4 linked regions of the Notamacropus eugenii genome follow. The protein of the gene in region 2 binds, or shares a complex with, the protein of the main gene of each other region. Links are inferred from orthologs where the notes say so. Each region holds a gene or a part of one and is shown on either strand. Other genes may lie near its edges.

Evidence for each region.
Region 1: the proteins of TGFB3 (region 2) and TGFBR2 are in contact, whole or in part, in a crystal structure (PDB 9B9F), measured with the Homo sapiens proteins. The link is inferred for Notamacropus eugenii from reciprocal best matches to the Homo sapiens genes TGFB3 and TGFBR2. Residues at the interface, in NP_001316868.1 of Homo sapiens: Arg325, Lys331, Trp332, His334, Tyr390, Tyr391, Val392, Gly393, Arg394; in NP_003233.4 of Homo sapiens: Leu50, Phe53, Asp55, Ser72, Ile73, Thr74, Ser75, Ile76, Glu78, Val100, Asp141, Glu142.
Region 3: the proteins of TGFB3 (region 2) and ITGB8 are in contact, whole or in part, in a cryo-EM structure (PDB 8VS6), measured with the Homo sapiens proteins. The link is inferred for Notamacropus eugenii from reciprocal best matches to the Homo sapiens genes TGFB3 and ITGB8. Residues at the interface, in NP_001316868.1 of Homo sapiens: Gly262, Asp263, Leu264, Arg266, Leu267, Lys268; in NP_002205.1 of Homo sapiens: Ser156, Ala157, Ser158, Asn161, Arg206, Gln210, Cys211, Tyr214, Leu216, Ser247, Gly248, Asn249, Ile250, Asp251, Thr252, Glu254.
Region 4: the proteins of TGFB3 (region 2) and TGFBR1 are in contact, whole or in part, in a crystal structure (PDB 9B9F), measured with the Homo sapiens proteins. The link is inferred for Notamacropus eugenii from reciprocal best matches to the Homo sapiens genes TGFB3 and TGFBR1. Residues at the interface, in NP_001316868.1 of Homo sapiens: Ala301, Leu302, Asp303, Asn305, Tyr306, Tyr350, Leu351, Ser353, Thr357, Thr360, Leu364, Leu368; in NP_004603.1 of Homo sapiens: His39, Leu40, Thr42, Lys43, Phe55, Met70, Ile78, Phe84, Val85, Lys91.

Annotation. Positions count from the first base shown.
Region 1 is NC_092874.1:24,448,984-24,456,058, reverse strand, and holds the start of TGFBR2 (TGF-beta receptor type-2), read left to right. Parts: upstream 1-4,055; 5' UTR 4,056-4,533; coding exon 4,534-4,627; intron 4,628-5,074; exon of another isoform or gene 5,075-5,265; intron 5,266-7,075. UniProt on the Homo sapiens protein: Transmembrane serine/threonine kinase forming with the TGF-beta type I serine/threonine kinase receptor, TGFBR1, the non-promiscuous receptor for the TGF-beta cytokines TGFB1, TGFB2 and TGFB3.
Region 2 is NC_092878.1:59,219,866-59,227,521, forward strand, and holds the start of TGFB3 (transforming growth factor beta-3 proprotein), read right to left. Parts: upstream 3,016-7,656; coding exon 2,664-3,015; intron 1-2,663. UniProt on the Homo sapiens protein: Transforming growth factor beta-3 proprotein: Precursor of the Latency-associated peptide (LAP) and Transforming growth factor beta-3 (TGF-beta-3) chains, which constitute the regulatory and active subunit of TGF-beta-3, respectively.
Region 3 is NC_092874.1:12,854,807-12,862,109, forward strand, and holds the start of ITGB8 (integrin beta-8), read left to right. Parts: upstream 1-4,298; 5' UTR 4,299-5,798; coding exon 5,799-5,931; intron 5,932-5,946; exon of another isoform or gene 5,947-6,474; coding exon of another isoform or gene 6,475-6,532; exon of another isoform or gene 6,533-7,303. UniProt on the Homo sapiens protein: Integrin alpha-V:beta-8 (ITGAV:ITGB8) is a receptor for fibronectin. It recognizes the sequence R-G-D in its ligands.
Region 4 is NC_092872.1:65,598,492-65,605,484, forward strand, and holds the start of TGFBR1 (TGF-beta receptor type-1), read right to left. Parts: upstream 3,017-6,993; 5' UTR 2,903-3,016; coding exon 2,653-2,902; intron 1-2,652. UniProt on the Homo sapiens protein: Transmembrane serine/threonine kinase forming with the TGF-beta type II serine/threonine kinase receptor, TGFBR2, the non-promiscuous receptor for the TGF-beta cytokines TGFB1, TGFB2 and TGFB3.

The sequences.
Region 1 (7,075 bases), on a different chromosome or scaffold from region 2:
CACAGAGCAACAAAGTGAAAGAGATTTCCATCCAAAGATAACCTGGAAGGCTGACAGGAAAGGTCTATTGCACAGGACTCTGAGCAGAGCGGGGCCTAGCCCTGACCATGCAGCACCAGGAGGAACAGGACCAGAACAGGCCTCTGGGGCAGAATTCCTAGCAGGGAGGGTCTCAGATCCCTCAACCCACAAATGTCAAAGAAAGCTTCAAAGATCAATGAAAGGGCTTTCCCAACTGGGCAAGAGGAGAGCAGGGTCCCCTCCAGCATTGGCCCCAGGCAGGGGCAGCAGTAGCAGTGGCGATGGCAGCAGTGATGGTGGCAGCTACTGCATCCATCTGTGAAGCACGCTGTCTAAAGCCCCTGGGGGAATTGAGTAGCTGATCTGAAACTCAGCCTTGAGCATGGTCCTGGGGTAAGGAGGAGGACCAGGACCCTCCTCTTGACAAAGGATTCAGAAGTCAAGTAACTGGCTGGGAAAATGTCCAAAAAGGGGGGGGGGGGAAATAAGACCATAGAAGGTTACTTTCCTAGTGAATAGGTATTTCCTTCAATCCTTTCAGATGAAGAAGCACAATGCATACTGTCAGAGGAAGTCAAGGCTTCTGCATCCAGTACCTCCAAAATGCAATATGCAATATTGAATATGCAATAGGCTCAGGCCACGGAAGAGTTTGAAAAGCAAATTGACAGCTTGCTAAAGGAGACCCCCCCCAAAAAAAATGCTGAAGAAAATAACACTTTTAAAAATAGGCTAACTCATTTGGAAAAAGAGGTCCAAACAGCCAATGAAGAGAAGAATGCTTTAAAAAGCAGAATCAGTCAAACGGAAAAGGAGGTTCAAAAGCTCACTGAAGAAAACAGTTCTTTAAAAATTAGAGTGGAGCTGAGGGACTCTAATGACTTTATGATAAACCAAGAAACTACAAAACAAAACCAAAAGAATGAAAAAATAGAAGATAATGTGAAATATTTCATTGGAAAAACAACTGACCTGGAAAATAGATCTAGGAGAGACAATTTAAAAATTATGGGACTACCTGAAAGCCATGATCAAAAAAAGAGCCTAGACATTATCTTTCATGAAATTATCACAGAAAACTGCCCTGATATTGTAGAACCAGAGGGCAAAATAAATATTTAAAGAATCCACTGATCACCTCCTGAAAGAGATCCAAAAAGAGAAACTCCTAGGAATATTGTAGCCAAATTCCAGAGTTCCCAGGTGAAGGAGAAAATATTGCAAGCAGCTAGAAAGAAACAATTCAAATATTGTAGAAATACAATCAGGATAACACAGGATCTGGCAGCTTCTACATTAAGGGATTGAAGGACTTGGAATAGTATTTTCCAGAAGTCAAAGGAATTGGAATTAAAACCAAGAATCACCTACCCAGCAAAACTGAGTATAATATTTCAAGGGAAAAAATAAATGGTCACTCAATGATATAGAGGACTTTAAGAGCTCTTGATGAATAGACCACAACTGAAGAGAAAATTTGACTTTCAAACACAAGAATCAAGAGATCCATGAAAGGGCAAACAGCAAAGAGAAATCATAAAGGATCTCTTGAGACTTTTCTCAGTATTTGGGTAGGTAGAGGGATTTTATACACACACACACACACACACATACAGCACAGGTTGAGTTGAATCAGAAGGGATGATATCTATAAAAAAATAAAATTAAGGGGTGAGAGAGGAATATATTGGGAGGAGAAAGGGAGAAATGGAATGAGGCAAGTTATCACTCATAAAAGAGATAAGAAAAATCTTTTTCAATGGAGGAGAAAAGGGAGGAGGTGAGAGGGGAAAAGTGAAGCTTATTCTCTTCACATATGGTTTAAGGAGGGAATAACATGTTCACTAAATTTAGAATGAAAATCTATATTACACTACAGGAAAGTAGGAGAGAAGGAGACAAGTGGGGTGAGGGGGATGATAGAAGGGAGGGCAAATGGGAGAAGGGAGTAACTAGAAGCAAATACTTTTGGGAAGGGACAAGGTCAAAGGAGAGAATAGAATAAAGGGGGGACAGGGTAGGATGGAGGGAAATACAGTTAGTGTTGCACAGCATGACTATTATGGAAGTCTTTTGCAAAACATATATAGCCTGCATTCAATTGCTTGCCTTCTCAGTGGGGATGAGTGGGGAGGGAGGAAAGGAGAGAAGTTGGAATTCAAAATATTAGAAACAAATGTTGAGAATTGTTATTGCATATAAATGAGAAATAAGAAATACAGGTAATGGGGTATAGAAATCTATCTTGCCCTACAAGAAAAGAGAGAAGATGGGGATAAGGGAAGGGTGGGGTGTGATAGCGTATGCTTGTCCTTCATTGCCAAAGAAGACCATGCCATCAGAGAAATAATGACATGACTTGCACTTGACTTTGTTTTAAGTGAGGGAGGGCTATGCAGGTCACCAGCCTCACTTCTCCTCCAGAGCCATCTGAATCCAATGACCAGATATTCATCAGGATGATTGGAGATGACCCAGGATGTGGCAGTTGGGGTTAAATGACTTGCCCAAGGTGACACAGCTAGTGAGTGTCAAGTGTCTGAGGGGAGATTAGAACTCAGGTTCTCTTGACTCCTGCACTGGTGCTGTATCCACTGCATCACCTAGCTGCCCCCAGCTAGGTGTGATAGAAGGGAGGGCACATTGAGGGAAGGAGTAATCAGAATGCAAGGTGTTATGGGGTGGGGGAGAGGGGAGAGATGGGGAGAAAAATTGGAACTCAAAGTTTTGTGGAAATGAATGTCGTAACTTAAAAATAAAAAGAAGGTTCAAGAAAAAGGAAGGTAGCATGTGAGCTGAACACAGATGGAAACGAGGTATTACAAGAGGCAGAGGTGAAAAGAGAGCGCCTTCCAGACTTGGAAGACAGCCTGTAAAGAGGCATGTAGATGGGAAGTGAACAATAGTAAGTATGCTGTAGGATGTAGTAAGGGCAGTACTATATACAATCAAGCTTAAAAGGTAGTTTGCAACTTTGTGGAGAAAGGCTTTAAATGCCAAGCTGAAGAATTTACATTTGACACCAAAAGTAAGAGAGAGCAACCGAAATTCACTGAGCAAGGGAGTGACAGGGTCAGAGCTGTGCTTTTGGAATACCTATCTGGCAGCTTTGTGGAGGATGACTGGGAAAGGGGAGACAGCGGAGACAGAGAAACCAGCTCCAAGTCTACCGGGTTGTTGCACCCTTCCTCAATAAGACTTTAGCTTCCAACTGCAGGAAGGCCTTTAGGACACCCTGTATGATCTGAAATGACCACGAGAAGGCAGGGACTGTTGAACTCAGCCTTTGTATCTGTGATGTCCATCACACAACTGGGTTCTTCATAAATGTTTGTGGTTTGAGCAGGGTAAGGCCTCTTTTCCAGGCATCAGTCACGGTAGCCCTGCAGTTGTCAAAGACACTTCAGGAAAGCCAATGGCATTTAGGGAAGGGCTGGAAGAGCTGGCACGGTGAGACAAAAGCCGGGAACTGGAGGCAGAGCTTTGACTTTCCCAATTAATGCCTTGGAAACTTCGGGTACCTCACTTCTCCTGCAGCCCCTGTTGCAAAATGAAGGAAATTGGGGGATTTGGGTCAGTTCAAGGGTGGTTTATTTTAACCCTTTTATGTTATGGATCCGTTCTCTGAATCGTTTTTAAGTGTATAAAATACTTCGGATTATAAAGGAAACCAATTTTTACCAAAATAAACTTGATCAGAATATACTAAAGAAAAATAAGTTCATGGACCCCAGGATAAGAAGCCCTGGCCTATGGACTTCAAGGTCCCCTGCCAGTTCTACAGTCCCTAGGATCCTAGATTCCCACTGGAGCTGCGTGCCAGGGGCCCTGCTGAAGTTTTGTTCTTGGAATTTAGACCCTTTCCAAGGTCAACCTCTTTCGCTAAAATCGTCAAAGGCCTGAAAGTTTGAGAGCGTGCAGGCTGGTGAGCAGAGTGGGTGTGGTGGGTGGGTAGGAGGGGGTGAGAGGGGGGAAGGGGGTGGGGAAGCTGAAGGGTTGGCCTGGAGAGTGATTGACGCCCGGGCAAGTGAGGACTTAGAGCCGAGGGGAGCCAGAAGGAACTGCTAAGAGTGCTGCGGCTTCTGCAGCGGAGAGAGGTCCTGCCCAGCTGTTTGCGAAGATTTCCTGTTTCCCCTCCAGCCCAGGCTCGAGAAGTTGAGTGAGTCACACGCACGCATACCCCCACACACAGCTACACACACACTCACACACACACACATCCATACAGGGCGAGCCGAGCCGCTGCAGAAGAGCAGAGCCCCGCGGCCAGCCTCTGGGGCCCCCAGCCCGGCCCGTGGCCCGGACGCCACATCTGGCCTGCACATCTGCCCAGGGAGGGAGAGCCGGAGCTCAGGCGCACCAGGGGCCAAGCGGGACGAGCGGAGCAGAGGCGGCCCGGCCAGTCCAGTGGGCTCCCCCTCCTCCACCCCTTTGCTCCTTCTCCTCTTCCTCCTCGCCCTCCCCGGCTGCTGCCCGGCTCCCGCTCTATGCGGAGGCGGAGCGGGCTCGGCCATGAGTCGGGCTCTCCTGCGGAGCCCGGGGCTACTGCTCCTCTTCCTGTGGACGCGCATCGCCAGCACCATCCCTCCCTACGTCCAGAAGATGGGTGAGTTCGGCGGGGCCCCCGGACGGTGCCCGCCTCGGGGGGAGAGGGGCAGTGCTTGACAAGCCGAGCTGCCGCGGGCGGAAATTGGGGCAGTTTGTCCCGGGGCCGGGCCGGGCTGGCCGGCCATCGGAGGAGCCCCTGGGGCTGCGCGGAGCCCAGCTCCGCCGACGGAACTTGGCGAGGAAGTTTGTTCAGTCTGCCGCCGGGCCTGACTTTCTCTCTAGGCGGGCACCGCGCCGTGAGCGCAACAGCCCAGTCCTAGGCCCCCTGCCCAGCCTGCGCGGGGCACACCTGGCCGTGTCAGCCTCGGTTCCGCGCACTCTGGGATCTGGGACCAGCCCCTCCTGACTCCTGAAGGTGTATAACACGCCGATCTCGAAATCATCGGGGTGCAGATGCCCCGGCTCCCCTTTCCAACCCCATCATCAACATTTATTAAGTTCTTACCGTGGAAGTAAAGCAGCAAACATTCATCAGGCGCCTGCTATGTGGCAGACACTGAGCTGTTCGCTGAATACGATCACTGCCCTCAAGGAGCGCACTATCTAACGAGCAAGACAGTTTGTAGAATAGTGTACGTAAAAGCCCCAGATCGAGTCAGAAATATAGTGTACTCCCTGAGCCCAGCGGACCGATGTGACTGTTTCTATTACCCAGTATAAATCTGGTACGTGCAATTGTTTGCATGTGGTCTCTTTCCCCTCCCCACCGAGGCCAGCATTAGTTTGTGAGCTCTTGGAGGGCTGAGGCTGTGTTTGCTCCTTGTTTGTAAAGGCATAGTTTAGCCAGTACTGCCCACTCGGACCTTACTCTTTAAGGCCGGGACGCTACAGGTAAACACATGAGTTGGGCCTAGTTGGGGAAGGCCCTGAGGCGGGAGAACCTGGCTAGGATCTCTCACACTTTCTCTTGTCCCCAGGCTACTGCCTTGCCTTTCATTTCAGAAAGTGAACTAATTCTTTCTTTGCTGGCTTGAGGTGGGCCCCCAGGGGCTCTGAACCCTGGAAGAAAGAATGATTTCCAGGCTCCACCTTAGACTGGGTGGATGTCTAGAGCTAGGTAATACCCCCTCCCTTCCTTGCATTTTATTGTTCAGTGGGGTGTCTAACTCATCATGGCCCCATTTGGGGTTTTCTTGGCAAAGATACTGGAGGGGTTTGCCATTTCCTTCTCCAGCTCATTTTTGCAGATAAGGAAACTGAGGCAAGTAGGATGAAGTGACTTGCCCAGTGTCTCACAGCTAATAACTGTCAGAGGCCAGATTTTGAACTCAGGGAGGTCAGGTTTTAAAGACTCCAGGCTTTAAAGACTTCATTCACTGCACCACCTAACTATCCCAGAAATCATAGAGCCTCGGTTCAAATCCCACCTCAACTTGTATGATCCCGAGCAAGTCACTAATCCTCTCTAGGTCCTCAGTTTCTCAGTAGAACAGGTAGGTTGGACTAGATGGGCTCTAAGAGCCGTTTTCAGTTCAAACCATGACCCCGTGATCTCCAAGTTCCCAAATGTTCATGCATCTAGTGAATATCCATTTACTAAGCATGACCTTTATGCAAGACAATTTGCTAAGGCACAAAATGTTGAGGGACTTTTTATTGCAGCCCCCCTTTAATACCTGCTCTGTGTTATAGGGTGCAGAACCCCTGAAACCTAGTTGCCACTGGGTATTGGCAAAGCGACTAGAGAACTGGACCCAGCTACTGCCCGTTACTAAACAGAATATCTGAGATGGGGTTTTTTCCTATTATTGAACATGAAGTTTCAAGAGAACTATTTTTATTCAAAGAAATATAAGCACAGCGTCAATTAAATCCCTAGGTCCTCTCATTCATCTGTTCTGGGACTTATTAAATGCTACATGCCATTCTTGGAACTTTGCTAGTTTGTTAAAACTTGTCCTTTTCTTCCCCCAGAACTGCACCTGACTTATTGGTATTCAGTTGGTTTTCAGTTGTGTCTGCCTTGGAGGGTCTTAGGTAGCCTCCTCCTGTCCCTTCCTTCCAGATATATTATCATTCAGTCAGTGTCTGACTCTTCATGACCCCATCTGGAGTTTTCTTGGCAAAGATATTGGAGTGGTTTGCTGTTTCCCTCTCCAATTCATTTCTACAGATAAGGAAACTGAGGTGAAGTGACTTGCCCAGGGTCACACTGGTATAAGTGTTTGAACTCAGGTTTTCTTACCTCCAGGTCTCAGCACAGCACCACCTAACTGCCCCTACCTGACTTATGAAGTGATAAAAGAGTTATTTAATTAATTTCTTAGTTATTTCTGTTGATGGGGAAAGTTAAGGTCAGTGTGGTTCCTCTTTATAAATGAGGGAAGGATGGCAGAGGATGAAGAATGGTTAGTTGGAATCTGAAATACTGAACTATTTGAGACTTATTTTGTTTACAGCTAGCCTATTGTAGACTCAGATAGCTCATTGCTGTGTCCATTTTAGC
Region 2 (7,656 bases):
TATACTGACTGACTGTATGGGTGCCTCCTCTGGACCTGCTGGTTTTCTCCCTAAATCTGCTTTTGTTCTGTTCTGTTTCTTACACAATCACACTGGTTTAATTTTGGCCAAAAGTCTGTAAAGCAGCAGGGAGAAGACTAGACCGGGAAGTCAGAGGGTCTAAGTTGGCATTGTGGCTTTTAAGCCATTGGTGAACTCCCATAACTTCTTGTTCGTTAGTTTCTTCATCTCAGAAAGGAGAGGTCTGAGCTAGACCTCTCCTGTTCCTTCCAGCTCTGGATTTAGGGTCCTACAAAGTCCTTATTTTATTTAGGGACTGTTACTCTTCCTTATGAAGGCCGCTACATGACTCTGTGGATAGAACCATGGGTCTGAAGTCAGGAAGACCTGAGTTCAAATGTGACCTCAGACCCTCTTTAACTGTGTGACCCTGGGCAAGTCACTTCAGCTCTGTTTGCCTTAATCCACTGGAGAAGCAAACAGCAAACCACTCCAGAATCTGCGAAGAAAATCCCATGGACGGTATTGGGATCATGAAAACTTGGGCACAACTGAAGAACAACTGTTCCATATCCCACCTTCTACATTTTTAATTATTATGCCTCTGAACTCTAATGTCTTCCTCTGTTAGGATTTCCTATTATCCCTGTATAGAACTTGTTTGCTGGTGTGTTTGTTATCTCTACCATTAGATTGTGAGCTCCTTGAGCTCTCTTTTGCTTCTTTTTGTGACTTCAGATTAGCATACTGCCTGGTGCATAGTAGGTACTTAATGAATATTGATTGATTGCTATTAATAATTCTCTCTCTCCCTCCTTCTCTCTTCTTCTCTGCTCTCCTTCTCCTTCTTTCTTCTTCTTCCTCTCTCTCTCTCTCCTCTTCCCTCCCTTCCACCACCCTTTAATAACATGCCTATTTTTTCCCTTCAGCATCAGTTTTACAACAAACAACACTTCTCGTCTGTCCCCTCCTTCCTCTAGCCTCTAGTCCCTTCCCCACCCACTCCCTAGGATTGGGGATACAGTAATGCAGGTGCCACCTAGCACTGGAAATTCCAGACCCCTAGGGAAGCATCAGCCTCTAGAAGGTGCCATGCATGCCCTGAGAGATCCTAGGAGGGGAGAGGCATCCTTTATGTCCAGAGCCTCAATCTGAGAAACTCCAGCCACATTGGAAGAGAGATGCAGCCACAGAAAGCGGGAGTAAGAAAATTTTAGCCAGCATTTACCCATGAGCAGCGGCCACAGCTTCCTCAGCTTGGCACAAGGAAGACTGAATCAGGCCTTCCTTTGCTTTAACAGTTTGTGATCTTTAAATGGAGACAAAATCCTCCCCAGGGCATGAATATATCCTTCTTTGAAGGCATTTTCAGTTACTCTGCTGGTTCTATTTAGTCCCCCCCACCAAAGGCCTCTCTGAATCATCAGTCTACAGGCAAATCTGGCCCCTCAGCCTCACTGATTTTCACCATTTCCCCTTTAGAAATTTCCAAGTCTGTCTGACTCCCTCCGACCAGTTTGCCAGGGACCATGAGGACACCTGCTGGTAGGATGGGCAAACAGAGGTCTTCCCACAAGTCCCTCACATCTGTGCCCGAGCTGTCAGTTTATTTCTTGACATCTGCCAAATTTCCTTCCCTTGTATTGGGATTTTTAAATTCCCTTTCTGTTAACACACATGACTTCCACACATGTACATACACACAGAGGCATCAAAAATACGGATGATCCCCGGTTTTTCTAGCACACTGACAATAAACACACACACACACACACCACACACACACACACACACACACACCCATCTGCCCATCTCACCCACATCCAGGTCTGCTGTACCATTATACACATAAAAAGCCCAAAGCATCTCACTGACATATACAGTAAAACACAGGCCTGCTCTCCCTCACCAGACAAGCCTAAAAGATACCCATTTCTCGCCCATCAATCTTCCTCTCCTCTCTCTTCTGGTGGGTGTGTGTTCCACAGATAGTGTGAACATTTGAAGTCAGTCACTCCCTAGGAGGGAGTGGGAAGCAAGTGGAGAGTTGGATGGGAGCTTATAGAGGGCACACAGATGAACATATATGTACTCACCCCCATAAATCCAGCACATGAAACATGCTTACTGCAGTGTGCTAGGGAAAGCTATCATCTTTGAAAAGGGTTTGGTTTTTTTTTTAACCAACCTTATTCCATAACAAACATCATTTCCCCCAAAGAATGATTGGAAAAACTAAGAGAGAGACGTGTCACAATGAGCTCTAGAAAACCAGGGAAAAGATCCAGGTCTCCAGACTTGCAGAGCCGTGCTTTCTCCTCTGGCTCACTCTGCCTTTTTTTTTTTTTAATACAGCACACATGCTTGCGGTTACCCGTATCACCATATAGATGTGAGCACGCATATACCGCAGGCAGTGCAGTGCCCCCCCCCCCCCCATGAATAACTGTCAAGGATTTTAACTGGATGGGTTCTACCCTTGGCATGAGGCGGCTGGGTTTCGGGGAGAAGCAATGAACACAGCCCAGAATCGTCTTGGTTCCCTCCCAGCTCCTCCTGAGCCTTAGGTGCTCAGAAAACCGAAGCCCTGGACTCTCTCTATCAAGTCTCTGCTCAAGTTGGGACCCTCCCAAGGTGACACCCAACCGAGAGCTGGGACTTACTGTGCTCTGCAAGCCCCTGGATCATGTCGAACTTATGGATTTCTTTGGCATAGTATTCCGACTCAGTGTTTTCCTGAGCGCAGCTTTCCTCCTTCTCCTCCTGCATCTCCTCCAGCATCTCCCGGGTGCTGTTATATAGGGCTAGGATGTGGTAGGGCACATGGGCCAGCGTTGATGCCTCGGGGGGGCTGGTGAGCCGCAACTTGCTTAAGATCTGTCCCCTAATGGCTTCCACTCTCTTTTTCTTGATGTGACCAAAATCCAAGGTGGTACAAGTGGAGAGAGACAGACTGACTGTGGCAAAGTTCAGGAGTGAAAGGACCACCAGAGCCCTTTGCAAGTGCATCTTCATGTGCGAAACAGGGGAAGGGGGACCAGGGGAGCAGCTGGGCCTGGCAAAGGAGACCAGGAGCCGTGCAGAAGGAGTTAGAAAAACCAGGCAGAGCTTTCGATGCAGCCTCCCCAGATCCCAAAGCCTGAGGCTTGGCAAGAGGGTGCATGAACTCACTGCACTGCAGTGAGATTCAGGACTTCCAGGAAGCGTTGGCAAAGCTTAGGAAGAAGCAGGCTCTGTGCCTTGCAAGGTTGGGATCCTTCTCCATGTGTCTGCACAGGCTCCGCTGGGCTGGGATTCCAGGCAAACCAGGTAAAGAGCACCAAGTAGGGGGAGAGAGGGGGTAAGGAAGGCTTGGGGTGGGGAGTGGGGGGGAGGTTTGGAGGGGGAAATGGGGAGAATGGGGGCGTTTTCCTTAGGTAGAAAAAATAATAATAAATAGAACTGCTATCTAAGATCCCAAAATATTACTTTGACAACGAGGGACAAAGTCGATGTTTTGAAGAGAGACTAAGAACAGTGTTTAGTTTCCAAATTCAGTATCCGTGGGGAGCCCAGAATAAGAAGGAAGAGAGGAAGAAAATCAGATCCCCAGAAAGGAGGGGCCGGTGACAGGGCTGGGCCGGGCCGGGCCAGCGTCCCCGGCTGGGGACAGAGGGAAGCGCTGGGCACACTTGTCTTTCAGACACACCATTCATACTTTCCCCTTGGTTTACATTTCCTCGAGGGCTTTTGAAATTATTTTTGTCACTCGCTGCCTCTCGTCTTCATTGGCTGCTGATCTGGGATTACGTGTAACCAGAAGGACTAGGCACCTGGTTTCTGCCTTCCTTCCAGTTTGGCCCCAGTAATCCACTTGGACGCCCAGGGTCACCAGGACCTTAGCTTCTCTTCTCCCTTGGTCATTGCTTCTTTCACTGCTTCACTTTAAAAAAAAGAAAAAGAAAAAACCATAAAAATAAAATAAAACAAGGCAGTTCACTGTACTCCTCCTTCTTGAATGTTATTCCTTCTTTCTCATTTTCTTCTCCTACCTCTTGCTTTTTGCTGGCTGCTACGTCCCTGCTGCCTCTGATCTCTCCTCTCTCTCTCTCCTCTCTCTCTCCTCTCTCCTCTCTCTCTTTCTCCTCTCTCTCTCTCTCTCTCTCTCTCTCTCTCTCTCTCTCTTCTCCTTTCCTCTCCCCTCCTCTCTCCCTCTTCCTCTCCCTCTCCTTCTCTCTCTCACACACACATACACACACACTGCTTTCTCTATTTCTCTCTGCTGAAATTTTATACCTCCCTCCCATGACGTCTTTGGCTGGGGATGGGGGGAGGGAGTGACTAGCAAGCTCAGCCTCATATTCAGCACAATTTTAATGTTTTAAACAGGCACAGGAAAAGCAGATCCCATTTGAAAATACTTTGCAAATCCTCTCATTCTACGTGGTACTGGGCTTTCTTCCCTGTTTCCTGGAGTCTCTTTTTTTAGGGCAGTTTTCTAATACACCTCCTTTGGAAAGTTACCCTGGTCAACTCTCCTCTTTCCTTGGGGCTCCTTCCACTCTTCCTTTCACCCTCTCCCCTAGCTGTCAATTCTTCCTTTAAAAAAACCCAACTGTAACCCAAGGGGCCCCTCCTCTGCCAGGTCGGGAGGGGCAGTCCCAACCCTGCCTGGAGGAAGGACTTTGGGGAATCGTGTGTGCTAGCTGTTTGCAGGAGTGGCTGTGCCAAGCCTCGCTTGTCGAGGTGATTCAGTTCTTCTTAACGGGATTCTGCTCTGCTCCTCAGAGATCCTGGCACCATTTTTTCATTGACAAGATCTGGGGAGTGAGAGGGCTTTGTGGGGCTTGGAGGTGCTCCAGAGGAGCAGAAAGAGGGTGGGTTTATCAAAAGATCAACCCTGCCCCCTGGTGGTCAGATTCTGACACCGACTGAGAGTTTAAGACCAAAGTTTTACCGGATTTTTCTTTTCTTTTTGATCTGAAACAATTTGAAAAGCAGGGCCCGATAAAGGGAACATGGGGGATAAAGGACTGAGAGCGGATGCAGGGGTAGACACTGTGTAGGTGTCCAACACATATATCAAATTGCCTTCTTTCTTTTTTTTTGAGATATGTCCAAGGTTAACGACCCAGGTTGTCCAATTCCCATTAAATCTCTTTATATTAACTACTTCTTGTAACCTCCCAAGAGGGACCACTGGGGATAAAGAAAGGGGGAAGGGGACAAAGGGGGTATCATGGGTCAGGTTTTTTCATTAGAATTGTAGAACATCCAAAGAGCTGTATTCCAAGTGAGCCAGCTTTGCCCCCACATTAACCCATCATAGCTGCCGGTGCCAGGATCAATAGTTAGGATTCTGCCCTAGAAACTATCTTGTCCTTTTTAGGAGGAATAAACTAAGACTCAGAGAGGGAACTGTGTGAGGTCACACAAGTGGCTATTTATTAGAATCCTGCTCTCCCCCCTCCTTGTTTTCCATTATTTTATTCTGTTTTTCTGGAAAGGAAAGAGAAGGGGGTGGGGTATGGAGGTCGGCACTCAAATCCTAGAATACCCTAGTCATCCCTGGCTCAGCCTCTGCCTCTTGGGTAAGGTCACAAATCAGGAGGGAAGACTCCTCAGGATGGGGGCTACTTTCTGCTGGCTCCCAGAGTCTTTGTGACTGGCACCTGTGGCTAGGGGTCATCAGAAATATCAGGCCCTCCATTCAGATTCACTGGGGTTTTCTTCCTTTAAGGTAGGCCAGGGGATAGAATTCCCTGGGACTTAGTACAGTAAGTGAGGGCAAATCCAGAGGAGGGGGTCAAGGAATAACTTTAGAGGGGACACTTCTTACAATGAGTCCAGAGCTGACAGGCTAAGAACTTACCCTTCCCTGCCCCCCCCTACCCCCCCACATACACATACATAAGGAAGCCAGTAACACAGCTGTGGGCCTGTGAGCCTATGAGAGGACCTAGGAACTTCCATCCCTGGGGCTGGGGATAAGTCTGAATTTCCCTGCTGATTCCCAGGAACCATGGGAACCATTGGCTTTGCTGGGATTCCATATTGAATCATGGCCACAGAAGTATGTATTTAGCCATGGCAGGGACCTTCAAAGCCATATAGTCTCATCTTACAGTTGAGGAAACTGAGGCCCAGAGGTGTGACTTCCTCATGTTCACACATGAATGAGAGAGTCAGGATCTGAACCAAATATCTCTTTTCCATACATGATGCTGCCTCCCTTAATTTTTTTTCCTGGAGATAAGTGGGCCACTGCCTTCTCTTTCTCAACAAATTTATGTTGAAATCAGGTTCACATTGTGTCTAGTTTTTCAAACAGTAGAGTTGGTGGTGAGTGGCAGGGCAGGGATGTGGGGAGAGGTCATAGCAAATGGGAGGCAGATTTTATCCCCACCACCTGTGGTTGGAGGAGGGATGGGCAGAAATTAAACCCTAGGAGTGACCTGGATTCTCATCCGAGTCCCACTTTGGTGTTGAGTTTCCTGTGCGGCATTCCCTGGTTTCCTCCCATCTAGGTCTTAGTCTTACAAAGAATGGGGCAGGGTGGGTAGAACCTGCACAGGAAACCTGGATCTGACTCCAGTTCTGAACATAAACCAGAACTGCAGAAAGGTTTCTGAGGCATAAAACCGTGCCCTGGTCTTTCTCATCTTTCTTGGATATCTGGCTGTCAAGGGCAACCACAGGTCCAAGGGAGAGGTCATCTGGTCAATGAGAAGGTGACCAAGGAGGGAATGAGTGAGAGATATAGCCCTGGGCTTCAATAACTGAATGTGGTAACTCTCCCTGGGCAGGGCAAGGGTGGGATGTGGATGGCTTGATCTGGAGTTCTGTCCTGGGACAGGGGAGAAGAGAGAGATGTGTGTGTGTGTGTGTGTGTGTGTGTGTGTGTGTGTGTGTGTGTGTGTATGTCTGTCTGTCTGTCTGTGTCGCCATGTATGACTGTCTCTACTTCTGTCCAGTGTCTGTTTCAGTGTATGTCTATCTGTGTGTCTGTCACTCTTAGTATGTGTCTCTCTCTTTCTCTGAAAAGAGACTCAGTTTGTGTCCATATCTGTCCCTGTGTATGTGTCTATATCTATAGGTATACGTGCCCCCAGGGGCCAGCCTGCCCTGGTGGTCTGAGTCAGGACGTAGGGGGTCTCTGAGTAGATGGACACCTTTTTGAAAAGGTACACAGCAAGCTCAAACAAGTGCTCCTTGAACTTGTGGGTGTAAAAGCTGGTGTTGTAGACAATGATGAAGATGACCCAGAACAGAATGATTTCACCTGGCACCCTCATGGCAATGCCCACCTTCATAGCAGTGCCTAGTTTGGTGCAGATTTGTTCATGGTCCTTGCTCTCCCAGGCCGACATACTCATGCTGACCTCATCCTGGCTGTTGCTCATCTACTGTACTGGACAGTGCACTCCTGGAGTTCCATCCTTCCAAGAAGGGAGTGAGAGACCTTAATTAGGATTGCAGGTCAAGGTCTGTGAGTCTGCTACCCTGGTAGATGAAGCCCCCCAATGGAACATTATGTTCTTCTAGGTCTTATGAGAGGGTCTTGGGTGCAGAGGTGCTGCCCCATCTCTTACCTGCAGCTCCCCACCAGTTAACACCCTAGCCCACCAGCTCTGGGCCAAGATACGTCTTGGATGAAGATTTCTTCTGTTTCTGTCT
Region 3 (7,303 bases), on a different chromosome or scaffold from region 2:
TGGCAAGGTGAGATATAGCATGGCACAACGTAGAGGGGCTTACATCCTGCCTTTGACACATACAAGTTGTGTGACCATGGATGGGTAAGTAACTTTTCAGCTCAGTGGGCCAAGGTAACTAACATAATACATTATATCCTAAGGGCTTACTCCCCCAGAAAAAAAACCAATCACAGTTTCTGCCCTCAAGGAGTTCCTGGGGAAGGAGAGGGAAGATATTGTGACATGTACATAGATAAGTAGAATCCAGGATAATGGACTAAAAGGGAAAAGTTACAGGCAAAATGAGCTTAACAATATTTGAGAACACTTTGTTGAGGGATTGAGGGAAGATGTCATTGGAAAAAGTTGCCCACGAGGTGAAGTTTTGAGTGGTGTAGGTGAAGAAGGAGTTTTAGTTTAGACACAGGGATCAGTTTGTGTGGAAATGTGAGAGGAGGAGAACACATTGCTCACCCTCAGAATCCAATGGATTATTTCAAATTCTATTATTAGTAGAATCTTGAATGACCTGAAATAGATCCATAAGCCTCCTTTAATTCCCCTTCAATACTCAGTTACTTTGGTAGAACAGACGTAGACAAAAATACATCACAGAGCAAAACGGTTATAGAAAAATAAGTTGTATGACTTTGGAGGAATGATGTCAGAACATAGGTGGTGGCCCATAGGTGTGGAGTGAGACATATGTTTTGGGGGCCTTGGTCATTTTGTGCATTTGTTATACCTGAATTTACTTATTTCTTACAAGGAATTGTTCTATAGGGGAGGTATTAGGAACTTACATTAGAGTAAAAAGGAGAATTATATAAATAAAACATGTTTTAAAAGAAAATTCCTTTAACCTTATCAATTTCACTAAAAGTCAGCAGTCAATGTTTACATTTCCCTAGTGATCATTTTTAAATAGATTCTCATTTGAATTTATATGGTGACTAAGATGACACTTTCAATTTATACAATCCAGCTTCAAAACTGAAGCACAAAAGTCTGCTATGCTGCAGTGATCTGACCTGATCCAATCCTGTGTTTGTCTTGAGTGCTGAGCCTGCTTAGAGACCCATAGTCCTCCTGGGAATTATGAATTCCAATGCTTTTTCCTAATTGTAGCACTGCAAAGTCTCAAGGGTGGCTGCATTCCTAAGGTCTGCAAAATGATCTCTGGAAAGTGTGCATGCTGCCTTTTAAGATGGGGATGAAGGGTTTCCTCTTTTGGATAAGGTTATTAAGAATGCACAGAGCTGGGACAAAGCATCTGCATCCTTGGGTGAGGTTTAAAATGGGGGGGGGGGTGTTGGAAGAGCATTAAAATTTGAGATTCCTGTAGGGTGTTCTGTACCAGAAGTTTGTTTATTTCAATTCAATCCGACAAGTGTTTTTAAGCACCTACTATGTATCAGTAACTGTCTTAGGCACTGAAAATTGAGAAGCAATATGTTTAATAGCCTTTGGCATCAACGAACTTGCAATCTGCTTTGCGGGGGGGAGGGAAATCAAACAGAATCACACAATTAAGTAAATATAAACTATACATAAAACCATACTTGAAGAACATCTTATAGAATTGAAGTTCCTTGTGATCAGGAACTATTCCATTTTTCTCTTTGTATCCCAACAATTAGCATTGCAGCTGGGACAAAATTGGAAAGTAATAAATGTTGTTTGATCAACTGGGCAAATGTAAGGGGGGAGGGGTAGATTGGAGAGGAGAGAGACTGGATGCAGGGACACCAGTTAAGAGGTTGGTATGTGTACATCCTTCGTTGTCGAAGATGACCATGACTTGCGCTTGACTTTGTTTTGAGTGAGGGAGAGCTGTGCAGGTCACCAGCCTCACTTCTCCTCCACAACCATCTGAATCCAGTGACCTCATCAGGATGACTGGAGATGACCCAGGATGAGGCAGATAGGGTTAAGTGACTTGCCTAAGGTCACACACAGCTAGTGAGTGTCAAGTGTCTGAGGTGAGATTTGAACTCAGGTGCTTCTGACTCCTGCACTGGTGCTCTATCCACTGCACCACCTAGCTGCCCTAATTAAGAGGTCATTGCAGTAACAAAGCATGAGCTGATGAGAGACTGAATTACGGCAGAGACTAGGTGAGTAGAGAACATGGGATAGGTGAGAAAAGATGTTATGGAGACAGAATGGACAAGACTTGACAACTGATTGGGTACGGGGTGTAAATAGCAGTACAGAGTAAAAGGTTGACTCCAAGCCTGAGAGACTATAAGGATGATGGTGCCCTCTACAGAAACAATTAAGTTAGGAAGATGGGTTGATTTGGGGGTGGGGGGAAGCAAATGAATTCTGTTACAGACCTGTTTCATTGTAATCCCCAGATTTCACTTTACCACAAGTTTTGTGACACAGAGTTTTCCTATGAATAGAATTTCTTCCAGGGGCAGGAACACCTGAGTGCCAGAAGGCAGGGCAACCAGGGTCAGGAGGGAAACTGTTGCCAAGCACCTTCTGGCTTCTGTTTTCTCACCTACTCTTTGGGCCAAAGGCACAACACCTGAAGTGGGGGAGGTTTCTGGGCATGGGGCCACTTAACTTGCTACTTTCCACTACTCCAGTTAGCAATTAGGCAAGAGAAAACAGAGCCGCCTACTTAGTAAATGAGTATGGAAACTATTGGTCATCAGCCCATGAGCTTTAGATCTAGAAGGATCCTCAGTGATCATAGAGTTAGACCCCTTCATTTTCCAGAAACTTCCCAGTTTCCAGAGGAAACTGAAGTCTTACATGAGCATCATATTTGAGTGGAGAAGTCAACGGATTGGAAGTCTCAGAAGATCTGGTGGATCAGATGCCAGCCCTGCTCCTTATGATCTGGGTGACCTCAGACAAGGCATGTGATCTCTCTAGGCTGAACAAATGCTCTCTAGAGTCCTTTCTTCATAATTCTAGGTCCTGTGACCCTACAGAAAGTACTTTCGGGAGGAATTTAGGAAGCAGGCCTGTAGTACTTGAAGAGGACCCCTAGGGGAAGATGTGGAGAGGAGTGAAGAAGATGAGAAGTCCTGGGCCACTTGGGGTCCTCATTATGGAAAGGAGTTTCCAAAGTAATTAGGAGAGAGAGGGGGAAAAGGGGAGAGGGAGAGAGAGAGGGAAAGGGAGAGGGAGAGGGAAAGAGAGAAAGAGAGAGAGAGACAGAGACAGAGACAGAGAGAGACAGAGACAGAGAGACAGAGACAGAGAGAGACAGAGAGAAGAGAGAGACAGAGACAGAGACAGAGAGACAGAGACAGAGACAGAGACAGACAGAGAGACAGAGACAGAGAGACAGAGACAGAGAGGGACAGAGAGACAAAGACAGACAGAGAGACAGAGAGAGACAGAGAGTGAGAATGAGGGGGAGGAGCAAAAGGAAAGAAAATGTAAGGATGCCAGCCCGAGCCCCCTGCCTCCAACTCCCCTCCCCTTCCATTTCACCAGACTGTGCAGATGGGGATACTGATAACTTTTTTCCTTTACCTGTTCCAAGGGGTCCCAAACATTCTAAATGCTTTTGGTGAGGGTAGTCAATTCAGAGGCAGGGGGACCAGTTAACTTTGCAAGAACAAGCCTATACAACGGATACCCTTCGAAAGAAGAACATTTGCAGGGAATGAGGGTGGGGCATGCAGAGGTTCCAGCCTGGCCATAGTTGGACGGTGGCAGTGAAAGGGCTTGGGGGGCAGGCTGCATTCACCACTTCCCCATTTTTCTCTACAGACTCCAGGTCTGGAAAGGTCAATGGATCTGTCTACCTCTCGATCTATGTCTGGTATCTCTCTGTGTGTAGGTCTTTAAACTCTGTTCTCTCGGGTCGCTGTGGACCCAGGCTACACTGAAGTGGGGCGAAAGCTGAGCCACCACTTAATGATGGGTGAGAACCCGGTACTACCTGGAGTGGAGTGGCTGAGGCCAGCTGGGGGAGGGGATGGCCGCGGGGGAAGAACCAGGAAGAGGGCCACACTCCTATGCTACTGACACCCGCCTGCCTAGGACCCTCAGAGCTGGGGAGCAGGGGCGCATGGTGTGATCGGAGGATGCAGGAGAGCGTTGACAGCTATGGGGATCCCCCCACAGTGGGGGAGCAGCTCCTGGTCAGTGAGTACATCGGGATCAGCGGGCGGTCTGCCGGACCAGCTAGGCGTGGAGGCGAGCTCTGTGAACCGCTGCTGCTCAAGCTGGAGAAACGAGAGGGAGGCTCGGGAAGCTGATGGGGCTGGGAGGGGGTGGGGGGAGATGCTGCTGAAGTTGCGATGTGGACCGAGTTCAGCCACTCAGACCCTGGGGTAACGGGGAGGGGGGAGCAAGGGAGAGAAAACACATTCACATCCAGACGCACTGGGCTGAGCAAAACAAAGAAAGAGTGTGGGCCGGTGACTTCATGCTTTACCAATGTCCCGCCCACGCGCCCGCGGCCGCCGCGGCCCCAGCCCAGATCTGCGTGAAACCCGCGCTGGTCTCTTAGCAACCGGCCAGCCGCTGAAGTTGCCAGGTCCCAGGCAGTCCCAGGCTGCCCCGGGGCCCCGACGGGACGATCTGGGCCTAGCCAGGACCCCCTCCTGCGCAGCAGCCCCCTCCCCCAGATCCCCGCTGCTGGGAGCTGCCCCCCGCTCCGGCTGCGCTCTAGGCCCCTGGACTCTGGGGGCTGCAGCGCCTGGACAGCGGCGAGAGCCTCTGCTTAGTTCTCTCTTCCTCTCTGGAGGGGGAGGGGGGGAGGAGAAGGAGGAGGGGAGCCCATCCCCCTCTTACCTCTTCCCCCCGGGACGTACCCGGGGCCCCTCTAGTCCCACCACACCCCCCGCGCCCGCCCCCTTCACCTAGTCTCCAAAGCAGCCTCCGCTGCCCGACTGCCTAAAAACTCGACGGCGCCGCTGCTTGTGCGCCGGGACTGGAGCGGGTCCCGCGCGCGACTTCTGCCACCCGGGAAGTGACACCGATTCCGTGTCTCCTCTGCTCAGCGCCAACCCAAGAGGGGCTGATCTTTGGGGCCGTCCATTGCCTCCCTCCACCAGGGCCCAGAGGCTGAGGTGAGCAGGAGCTGGGCGCCCCAGGAGTACAGGTACGGCGGGGCTGCCCACCTGTGGCTCGGCTGATCTGCCCACCTGTGGCTCGGCTGATCTGCCCACCTGTGGCTGGGAGCCTCTTCTTCCCAGCCTGGGACTGTCGGTTCTCTGCGCCGGGCTGAGATCTCTCGGCCCGGCGCCTCTCCCCCCAGCCCCCGCCTCTCCCCCTGGGCGCTTTGTTTGGGGCCAGCTCCCGGCGGAGCTGATTTATGCCGCAGCAGCTCCGTCGGGGGCGGCCTCGGGCAGAGGCTGGGAACAAAAGCCCTTTGTCCCGGGCCGACCGAGCGGGGGCTGGGGCGCGGGCAGCTGAGCCGGCCCCCGTGCGCTGGCTCCGAGGCTCGCTCTGAATGAAGCGGGACCGCCCGCCGCTGCCCTTCTCCACAGCCGCCGCCGCGGGGCCCCAGCCGGGCTGAGTCCGCCACCCCTCTCCGCCCCCGCCTCCGCCTCGCCTCGCCTTCGCGCTCGGTCCAAGCTCTCGAGCCTATTGTGCGAAGCGCCCGGATTCCTGCGGTCGTTCTGACATGCTGTGCCCCGCTCGGGCCCTGGCCCTGCTCCTGCTCCCTGCCAAGAGGGCGCCCCGAGGCACCGACCCCTGCCAGGGGCGGGAAGAAACGTGGGACTAAAACTTGGCCCCGAAGGACTTCCCCGCCGGGCTACCCCGGACCGAGGCGGGAGACGAGCCCCAGAGCCTGAAGACAGCCTCCAGGAGGAGCCGCCCGCCGGGCGCTGTGAGCGATGTGGGGCTCGGCCTTGGCTCTCTGGACTGCTGCCGGCATGGTATGCCTGCAAAAGGGCCGCCGAGCCCCGGGGCCCGTGCTCGGGGCCGCCTGCCTCTTCTCCATGGCTTTCGGACTAGGACAGAGCGGCGGTAAGTGGTCTGCCTTTGTGGGCGGAGTGGCAGGGGTCTCGGGCGCGGGGGGCACACTGCCTGCCAGTCAGCTGGCACTGCAGCCAGATAAAGAGAAGAAAGCGCTGGCTTTATCAGGAGAGAGGCTCCGGCACCTGGACTGACTCAGGCCAGGTTTCAGCTAGTGGCTAGCTGCGGAGCTGGCAGGTCTGCGCGTTTCACAGTTGCCCCCCAGGAGGTCCCCGAAGCAGGTGCCTCCGGCTGGGCCAGGTGGATCACGTTCCCTTCGCTCAGGGCCAGGGATTAGGGACAGCACAGTGAGAAAGCCTGGAACTGGAGAGCCTGGAATCCAGCTTCTGTTTACTAAGAGACTAAAACAAAGTTAGACATTCCAGTGCCTCCTTGGAGAAGGACACTCTACAGTCTATGTTCCCAGTCCTCATTTACTGACCCGGAGACCAAGGACTGACTATTCGATCGGATGTGGGGGCAGTGAGGCAGATTTCCTTGGTCCTACATCCATACACGGAGAGGGCCAGTTAGCCCAACCTATTCATTTTACAGATGGCGAAACTGAGGCTCGGCGAGGTTAAATGCTTTACCCAAGGTCACACCGGCAATCGTAAGTGGAAAAATAGGAATGAATCCATGTACTTTGACTCCAAATCCAGTATTCTTTCCACTCCAGTGCTCTGCCTTTTAACTGAGAACTGTCACTTAAACATTATAGCTACCATAATAAACACATTACTGCAAATCCCCGTGAGGGAGGAAGAGGGGAACAGCACTGGCTCTGAAATCTGAGGGCTTGGCTTTCAATCATGCCTCTGGCATTTATTTGACTTGGGCCAGTCACTTATAACTCCATGGGTTCCAGCTTGCTCCCCTGGAAAAGGAAGGGGCTCCTAGGTGACTTCCAAAGTCCCATCCACCTTTAGAACCATGATCAATGATCTATCCCTCCTACCCCCTGCCACTCTCATTCAGGTAGTAGCACCAAGTGGTCCTTAGCCCCATGGAATACTAGGGTACATACTACACGGCCTAGCCTCTTTGTGCAAAAGACCTTTGCCTGGAGCCCCCCAATCCTATAAGCTAGAGAGCACACAGATATTAATATCCTATTTTACAGAGGAAGAAACTGAGGCCCAGATAAGTAAGGTGAGTTGTTTCAGAGCTAGGATTCAGAGCTTTGGGACCTCCCTGACTCCCTCACCATTCACTCTGGCTTCCTCTCTTAAGTCCTGATATCAGGACCTGAAGGATCTCTTGGTTTGAAAACAGTTAAGTTCGTCTCACTTATACTCTTAACTTTGCCAGGGTCTACGTTTTTTGAATTTTGATGTTCACCTTTACGTCAGCCCTAGGAACACCTTCCTTTGACCTCCCAAGA
Region 4 (6,993 bases), on a different chromosome or scaffold from region 2:
ACCTCTCCTTCCTTCCACTGCCCATCCTACTTTCAGACACAGCTCAAGGATCATCTTTTGCATGAACCTTTCATTATTTCCTCCAACTGCTAAAATATCTTGTATTTTACAACTTTGTATATATCTGTATTTATACTGTATATATCTATATACATACTTGTCTCTCCCATTAGACTATAAACTTCTCGTCAGAATTGTTTCGTTCTTTTTAGGTATATTACCAGCATAATGCCTGGTCTATAGCAGCTGCTTAACAAATACTTGTTAAGTAATTGATTTCTGGGTTTGTGCCTTCCCTCCAAAGGACCTCCAAGGTATAGGAAGTTATTTATAAAATACTAAAGGCTCTTTCCTCACAACAATCTGGTAAGGGAGGGAGTATAATTATGATTTCCATTTTTTAACAGTTAAACGACTTGGCCTGAAGTGATAGGTCAGGTATCATCTGATGCCAAGGCCAATCGATGCCCTTTCCACAGCTCCAAGTTGCTCATTTCTATGCATAGTCCAGCACATAGAACTTGTGACTTCTGAATGTCTATGCAATGTTCTACACAGAAAAGGCACTCAAAAAATGTTACCCAAATACAAAGCTGGAATGTTAATATTTAAAAAGCAGTAAAATCAACTTTTCGCGTTAAATGGTATGGATAATTCACAAGTAATTTATATTTACCTTTAGAATACATTTATTACTTTTCCAGCAATTTGTCTTCTAAATATTACTTCCATAGGTAATGGAAATATAAAATATAAGCCAGATGTAGAATTCTTTCATAAAATATGTCATCCATAACATAAAGGACCAGGAGAGGAGTAGGGGTGTCCTAGTCATGTGGCAAAAGCAAGGATTAACAGATAGACAGCCCAAGTGCTGTACTGGTTAAAAAAAAAAAAACCCTAGAAAGGGCTGTTGTGGAAAAAGCTCCATAGGAAGTTTATGGAAACATACAAAAAAGAATCACACAAAAGGAAAGATGAGTTTGGGGGTGGGGAAAGGGTATCCACATCAAAAGAAAGCAAGCATTTTTGCAGCCCATCTTAAAAAGAATAGTAATCCCTTAACATCTACTGACAGCCATAAACGGAACACTGGAAAGCAGAAAAGCGCTTTGACATTTTAAAATTTGTGGAGGTAAATCCACAGAGTAAATAATCAAATACTGTTAGGTCAACTGCTTCCAAGGTGACTTAAAAGATATAAAAAGAAAATCAATAACAAACAGAATTACACACACACACACACACACACACACACACGTAATTTCATAGGATCGGAGCTCAGTACTTGAAAGCGGCCCTAGAGATAATCTTGCCCAATCCCTTCAACGGACAGATAAGAAAACCAAGGCACAGGAGACTTTACCTCCCAGCCCAGGGTAGCCCAATTTGGAAGCATCTTAGCCAGAGCACAGGAACGTGACCAAATAGAAAACGCCTTCCCTAGCAGCTGAAAACGCTGCCTGGCTTTGCAGCGTTGCTACAACTTAACTCTACACTATCTCGCTACACCACTACTTACTGGTGCCTCTCACGCGATCCTCACACCTGCAAAGTTCTCCCTCCTCTCCTGGACTCTCCAGTCTCATCTCCAACCCAGCTTTCCCCACTGGCCTTCCAGATCCCTCCCAGGGCTGGAGCTTCCAGCCCAGATTAGACGATTAAGCACTAGGTAATTCACGTTATCTGTTTGGAAGGGAGCTCCTCCAGGGCACGGACCCAGGCTGGCCTTTCTTTGTATCTGCAGGGCTTAGCCTAACGCTAGGGACGGAGCTCCTTCCACCAACGTCACTCTTCAGCTCCAAAGATGGGAGGTTTTAGGTGGGTTAGGGGCTTTTTTTGGGTGGTTTTACTTATTTTTTGAGGGCGTTTCTGTGCGTGCACGAAAAAGCACTGCCCAGTCGGTATGCCTCCCCACCTCCTAAAACGATCCCTCGCTCGGGTCCCAGAAAACCGGGTCCTCCCAGAGCGGCAGCTCCCCTGCCGCCGTCCTCGTGATAGTCATCTCTCTCCCACTAGAAATCTGATTTAGCAGCAAGAGGAGGAAAAACAAATCTTCTCCCAACACGTGTTGGATGAATGTGTAAAAAAAAAAAAAAAAAGTCATTCCCATTCAAACATTTCGAAACGCCGAGCAAATATTCAGACAAGTTTCTAGGGCGAAAATAATTCTTAGTCATCTGGTGATGGAATTCGCCCGCACCCCCTCCCCCCCACCCCGGGCACCCGGGAAGCGGCCGCCGCGCTTCACACCTACTTAGCCCCCGGCTCCCGGGGCCAGCACAAAGATAGGGGAGGGGAGGTCCGCACTCGGGGCAGGAGGGGCCGGAGGCTCCGGCGGGGCTGGGGGGGGGGGGTCAGGAGTCCGCGACACCCCCCGCCAGACACCCTCCCGGCCCCGGGCGGAGAGGCCAGCCCCGCGAGCCCGGGCTCCCCGCCGCCGCCCCCCGCCTCCTCACAATCTCCGTCTGCGGTCTGTCTGGCCGAGGCGGCGGCGGAGCCCCGGGAGGAGCCCTCCTCCGTCTCCCGCAAGCCGCCCGACCACCCCCGGCGCCCCCGGGGCCCGCGCCATGTTGGAGAAAGGGGCCGCGGCCCCAGCGCCCCCGTCCGCCTCCGCCGCCGCCCCGGCCCCTCCCCCCTCCTGCGGCTCACCCGTCGCCCCTGGGACCAGCCCCGCGGCCGCCAGGAGGAGAAACATCTGGTAGCGGGGGGGAACGGTCGTCTTCCCCGCGACGGCCGCCGCCGCGGCCGCCTCCATGGTCCCGCGTCGTAGTCCGCGTCGGGTCCTTTCGAGGGGCCGGGGCCGCGTCTCGGTGCCCCCGCCCCGAGGAACCAGAGAGCCTCGCCTCGCGCCGCGGCCTCGTTCGGCCCCTTTGTAACTGCTCGGGGGGGGCCCTCCCATTGGCTGCGAGGGACGTCCCGGCCCCGCCTCCCGGCAGCTGCCGAGACGGGAGAACAACAAGAGAGGCGAGAGCCCGGCCCGCAGGGCCGCAGCCAATCCGGGGCCGGAGGGCGCCGGGAACGGCCGGGCCCCCGCCTCCTTCCCAGTCCCTCCACAGGCTCACCCCTCCCACCCCGCCTCCTTCCCAGGCTCCCAGGACTCCCCCGCCCCCTCCTCAGCCCCACCCCCTCACCCCGCGTCCCCCCACGCCGGAGGTTTCGGATGGTGCAAGAAGTGGGGGGGGGGGGGGGTGAGCAGTGAGCCGTGCACTGGAAGAGGAAGCGGCCGCCGAAGCCAGGGGCTCTGGGGTCCCTAGAGCTGGGGGGCGCCCAAGGGGCCCCAGCATGTTGTGCCCGCGGAGGGGAAGTACTTCAGGACTGGGGGCCTCTCTCCGCTCGGTGCACGGGGACCGGGGCGGCCGCACCCCCTTCCCAGGGGACCGTTATCGCCCTGGGCCACTCCGGAGCTGCCGCCAGCTCCGGGCCCTCTTCCGTCCCCACTCCCCATTCCTCCTCCGACGGCCCCCCTTCCCCCGAAGCCCTCGGAGACGTGACCTCGGGGCCGTCTGCGCTTCACCACTCTTACTAACTGAGCCCGGAGAGCCGAGCAGGCCGGAATGGGGCCGCCCCGTTTTCTAACCACTCCAGCGGCGGGATGGGGGAAAGGCGGTCTACACCGCACGCACGATCGCCGAGACCCCCCGGGACTCAAGAGCCCTTGCCTCTCTGGCTCGCCCCTTTCATGAAGTCAAATAAACTCGGGAGAAACTCGGAAGGGGTAGAGGGAACTCTCGCCGCCGAGACGAGGCAGCCCGTTCTGCAACCACAAGTGGCTAATGTTTAAAACCTGCGGTGTTTGCAGTACCACGGGTATCCAGCGTGCCTCTTTGGGGAATCTTTGGTTTCCTTCAAGACGAAAATAAGCTGAACTACTTTTCCATTCTTGATTTTCTCGGCTGAGAGACACTCCTCCCACCTTCACTTCAGTATGTGCCAAAATAATTTAGCAGCCAGACTTCTGATTCTGCAATAAAATACTTTTACTTTCGATACAAATACTATGCAGTTTTTTAACGCTAAACTTTTTTTTTTAACAGAAAGCTTCAATATCTATTTTCCATTTATTTGGCTTCAATCCTTTTTTTTTTTTTTAAACTTAATGATCTCTCCTTGCCTCAGTCTCCTGGCTTCCTTCAAGTCACTGCTAAAATCCCACCTTCTGCAACAAGCCTTTCCCAGTTCCCCCTAATACCTCTCCTCAGTGATTATCTCCACTTTATGCTGTTTACATATATATATGTATATATATATATATATATATATATATATATATATACACACATATATTCATAGTTGTTTACTTGTTGTCTCTCCCATTAGACTACGAGCTCCTTGAGGATCAGGAGTTTTTGACTTTGTACCCTTAGTGCCTGGCACAAAGTAGGTGAGCTTTATAAACGCTTATTGATTTGACTTTTTGACTTGGATAAGGAACTTGTCCTCATTTATGGATTCCCTTAAAATGTGTTTGGGCGATAATGTATTAATAAAAGTGGTTAAGAAAACCTTTAAATCTGGAGACTTTAAAAGCCTAGTAAGAGTGGGAGTAATAGTGATTAGGGCTGATGCAAATGAATATAGCTTTTAATCCTCCCCAGAGTGGCTTGTATTTAAGGAGTTTAAATTGTTAAGATAAATGAATTAACTCACTGGTGCCTGCGACACAGGGCAGCAGTGAATAGATCGCCTGACCTGGAGTCAGGAGAACCTGAGCTCAGATGTGACCTCAGACGCTTATTAGCGGTGTGACGTTGGGAAAGTCATTTACCCCTGTTTGCCCTAGTTTTCTCATCTGAAAAATGGGTTGGAGAGGAAAATGGTAAACCAATCCAGTATCTATGTCATGAACACCCCAAGTAGGGTCACTGTGAGTCTGACACAACAAAAGCCTGAGACACAATCCCCCCCACTCCTCCCCACCTCTATTTAGAGACCTTTGCGTGCCGTCTGCTTACAGAAAGGAAAGCAGTCAACACTTCTGCTCCTAACCATCTCCTTTCTTAGGGGTTCGGCGACTTGATGTCTCACTCTCAAAAGTTTCTAATTGCTGATCTAGCTTTTTTTCTAATGATTAGAATGTGTTTGTGGACTAGATACAGTGTTTCTCTCCCTCAGAAAGTCTCCGATAGACACTGACTAATTGTATCTCTCCAGGCTCCATAAGGGCTTCCATCTTACTAGTCTTATTTAGAATCAACTGTTTTGCTTGGTTTCAACTCCAGGAACTTCATTCCTTCCCCCAGAATAAATTCCTCACCTGAAATCTCATCGTCATGTGGACTGACTCAGTTTTTGATAATCTTGATAATCCAACACCTCTTCTGTTTCCTGAGTTGCCTCTCCCCTTAGTTTGGAGCTAGGGGCTGGAAAGCTAAGCAGTCAACTCAGAACTTTTCAAATATTTATTTTCCATCAGTTGCCCAACTTGGTTTCCGAGTGGGTCCCAGACGCCCCTTCCCCTTTTCAGCTTCCTTTTGTGAATTGGCTTCCTCGATAGTGACTGTCTTATTTTTTGTTTATATATCTCCAGAACTGAAGATAGTGTCTGGCGCTTAATATGTGTGCTTAATAGACGTTTATTGACTAAAGACAATAATAATCCTCAAATTCTCAAGTCAATTTTCATGAAATGCATTTTATGTCAGCTATTCTAGGATGATATTTTGGAAAATATATCAAATCCACTGATTCTATGATACCACCACCTCAGATCTCAGTCTTGAGCTATTATGAAAATATGGATGTCTTTGTATGTCACATCTTTCTGTTTCCCTGTTTAGTCACTAAGAGAGAGGAAGGAGGTGAGGAGCAAGATGCTTGGAAGGGCAAATGGCCTTTTCCTAACACAAGTTGTAAGTAAAGGGTAATCAAACATTTCTTGGAAGTGAAAGTAAAATCCTACAGCTAAAGGAAGTCTGCTATTTTTCACCTCAGGAATATGAGTCTTAGGCAAACTAGGATAATTAATGAAATATCTAGAGCAGGAGTTGTTAATGGGGTCACTGAACTTTTTTTAAAAAATTAAAACTATGCAGGATGTTCCCAATATCTTAGTGCAGTTTTAAACTGTACACTGTAATTCAAGGTAATTGTTTTCCTATGTAATCTATGTATATTACATGTAAGTAGTTTTGAACTATCTTTGATTACTATATAGGTTATCGCTTTGGAAATATTTCAATATTTCTTCTGATTGATAGGAATACTTCCAACTATGTAACCAATTTATACCATTTAATCTTCCATGATTCTTCTGTGTTCTTGGAAGGGGAACATTGTTCATCTGTGATGTCTTTCCAAGATACATACATACATATGTATGTGTATATATATATACTAATAGAATATTTTTATAGACTACACACCTAACTGCATATTATGGTCCACAGTAGACAACAGGCATTTTCCCCTATAGTGCTTACTTCCCCACATGTGTGTCTGAGTGTCTGTGTCAGTGTGTGCATGCACATATACATATGCACACACAAATGATACATACATCATTATCCAGACCCACATTGAACCAACCAAGTAGAATATAAACTGCTTGGGGGCAAGAAGTATTTAATTTTTAACTTTATATCCCCAATATCTAGTAGAGTACTTCACACATAGTAGGTGCTTAATAGGTGTTTGTTGAAATGAATTTTTAACTCATGTTCTTTCCTACATGGAGAGTTAAACTAGCCATCTTTTATCCTGATATTCTTTAGGAGGCCATATAGAAATCTGAGGCTTGATATAATTAACCCAATATCATCTTCAAATAAGAACACTTGGAGGGCCTCATTATCTACAGGAAATCTTCCTTGTCTTTGGACTCCCTACAAGATAGTCCCCATGACAATGGCAAGCACCTTTGGCAATATACATCTCCAATTTATTATGCCACATGTATTAATAATGAAAACGTCATTGAACAAAAATCATCTCTGTAGTTACATTTATCAAGGAATCTCATTATAGGCATAGGAAGTTCAATGTTGCAGCCTT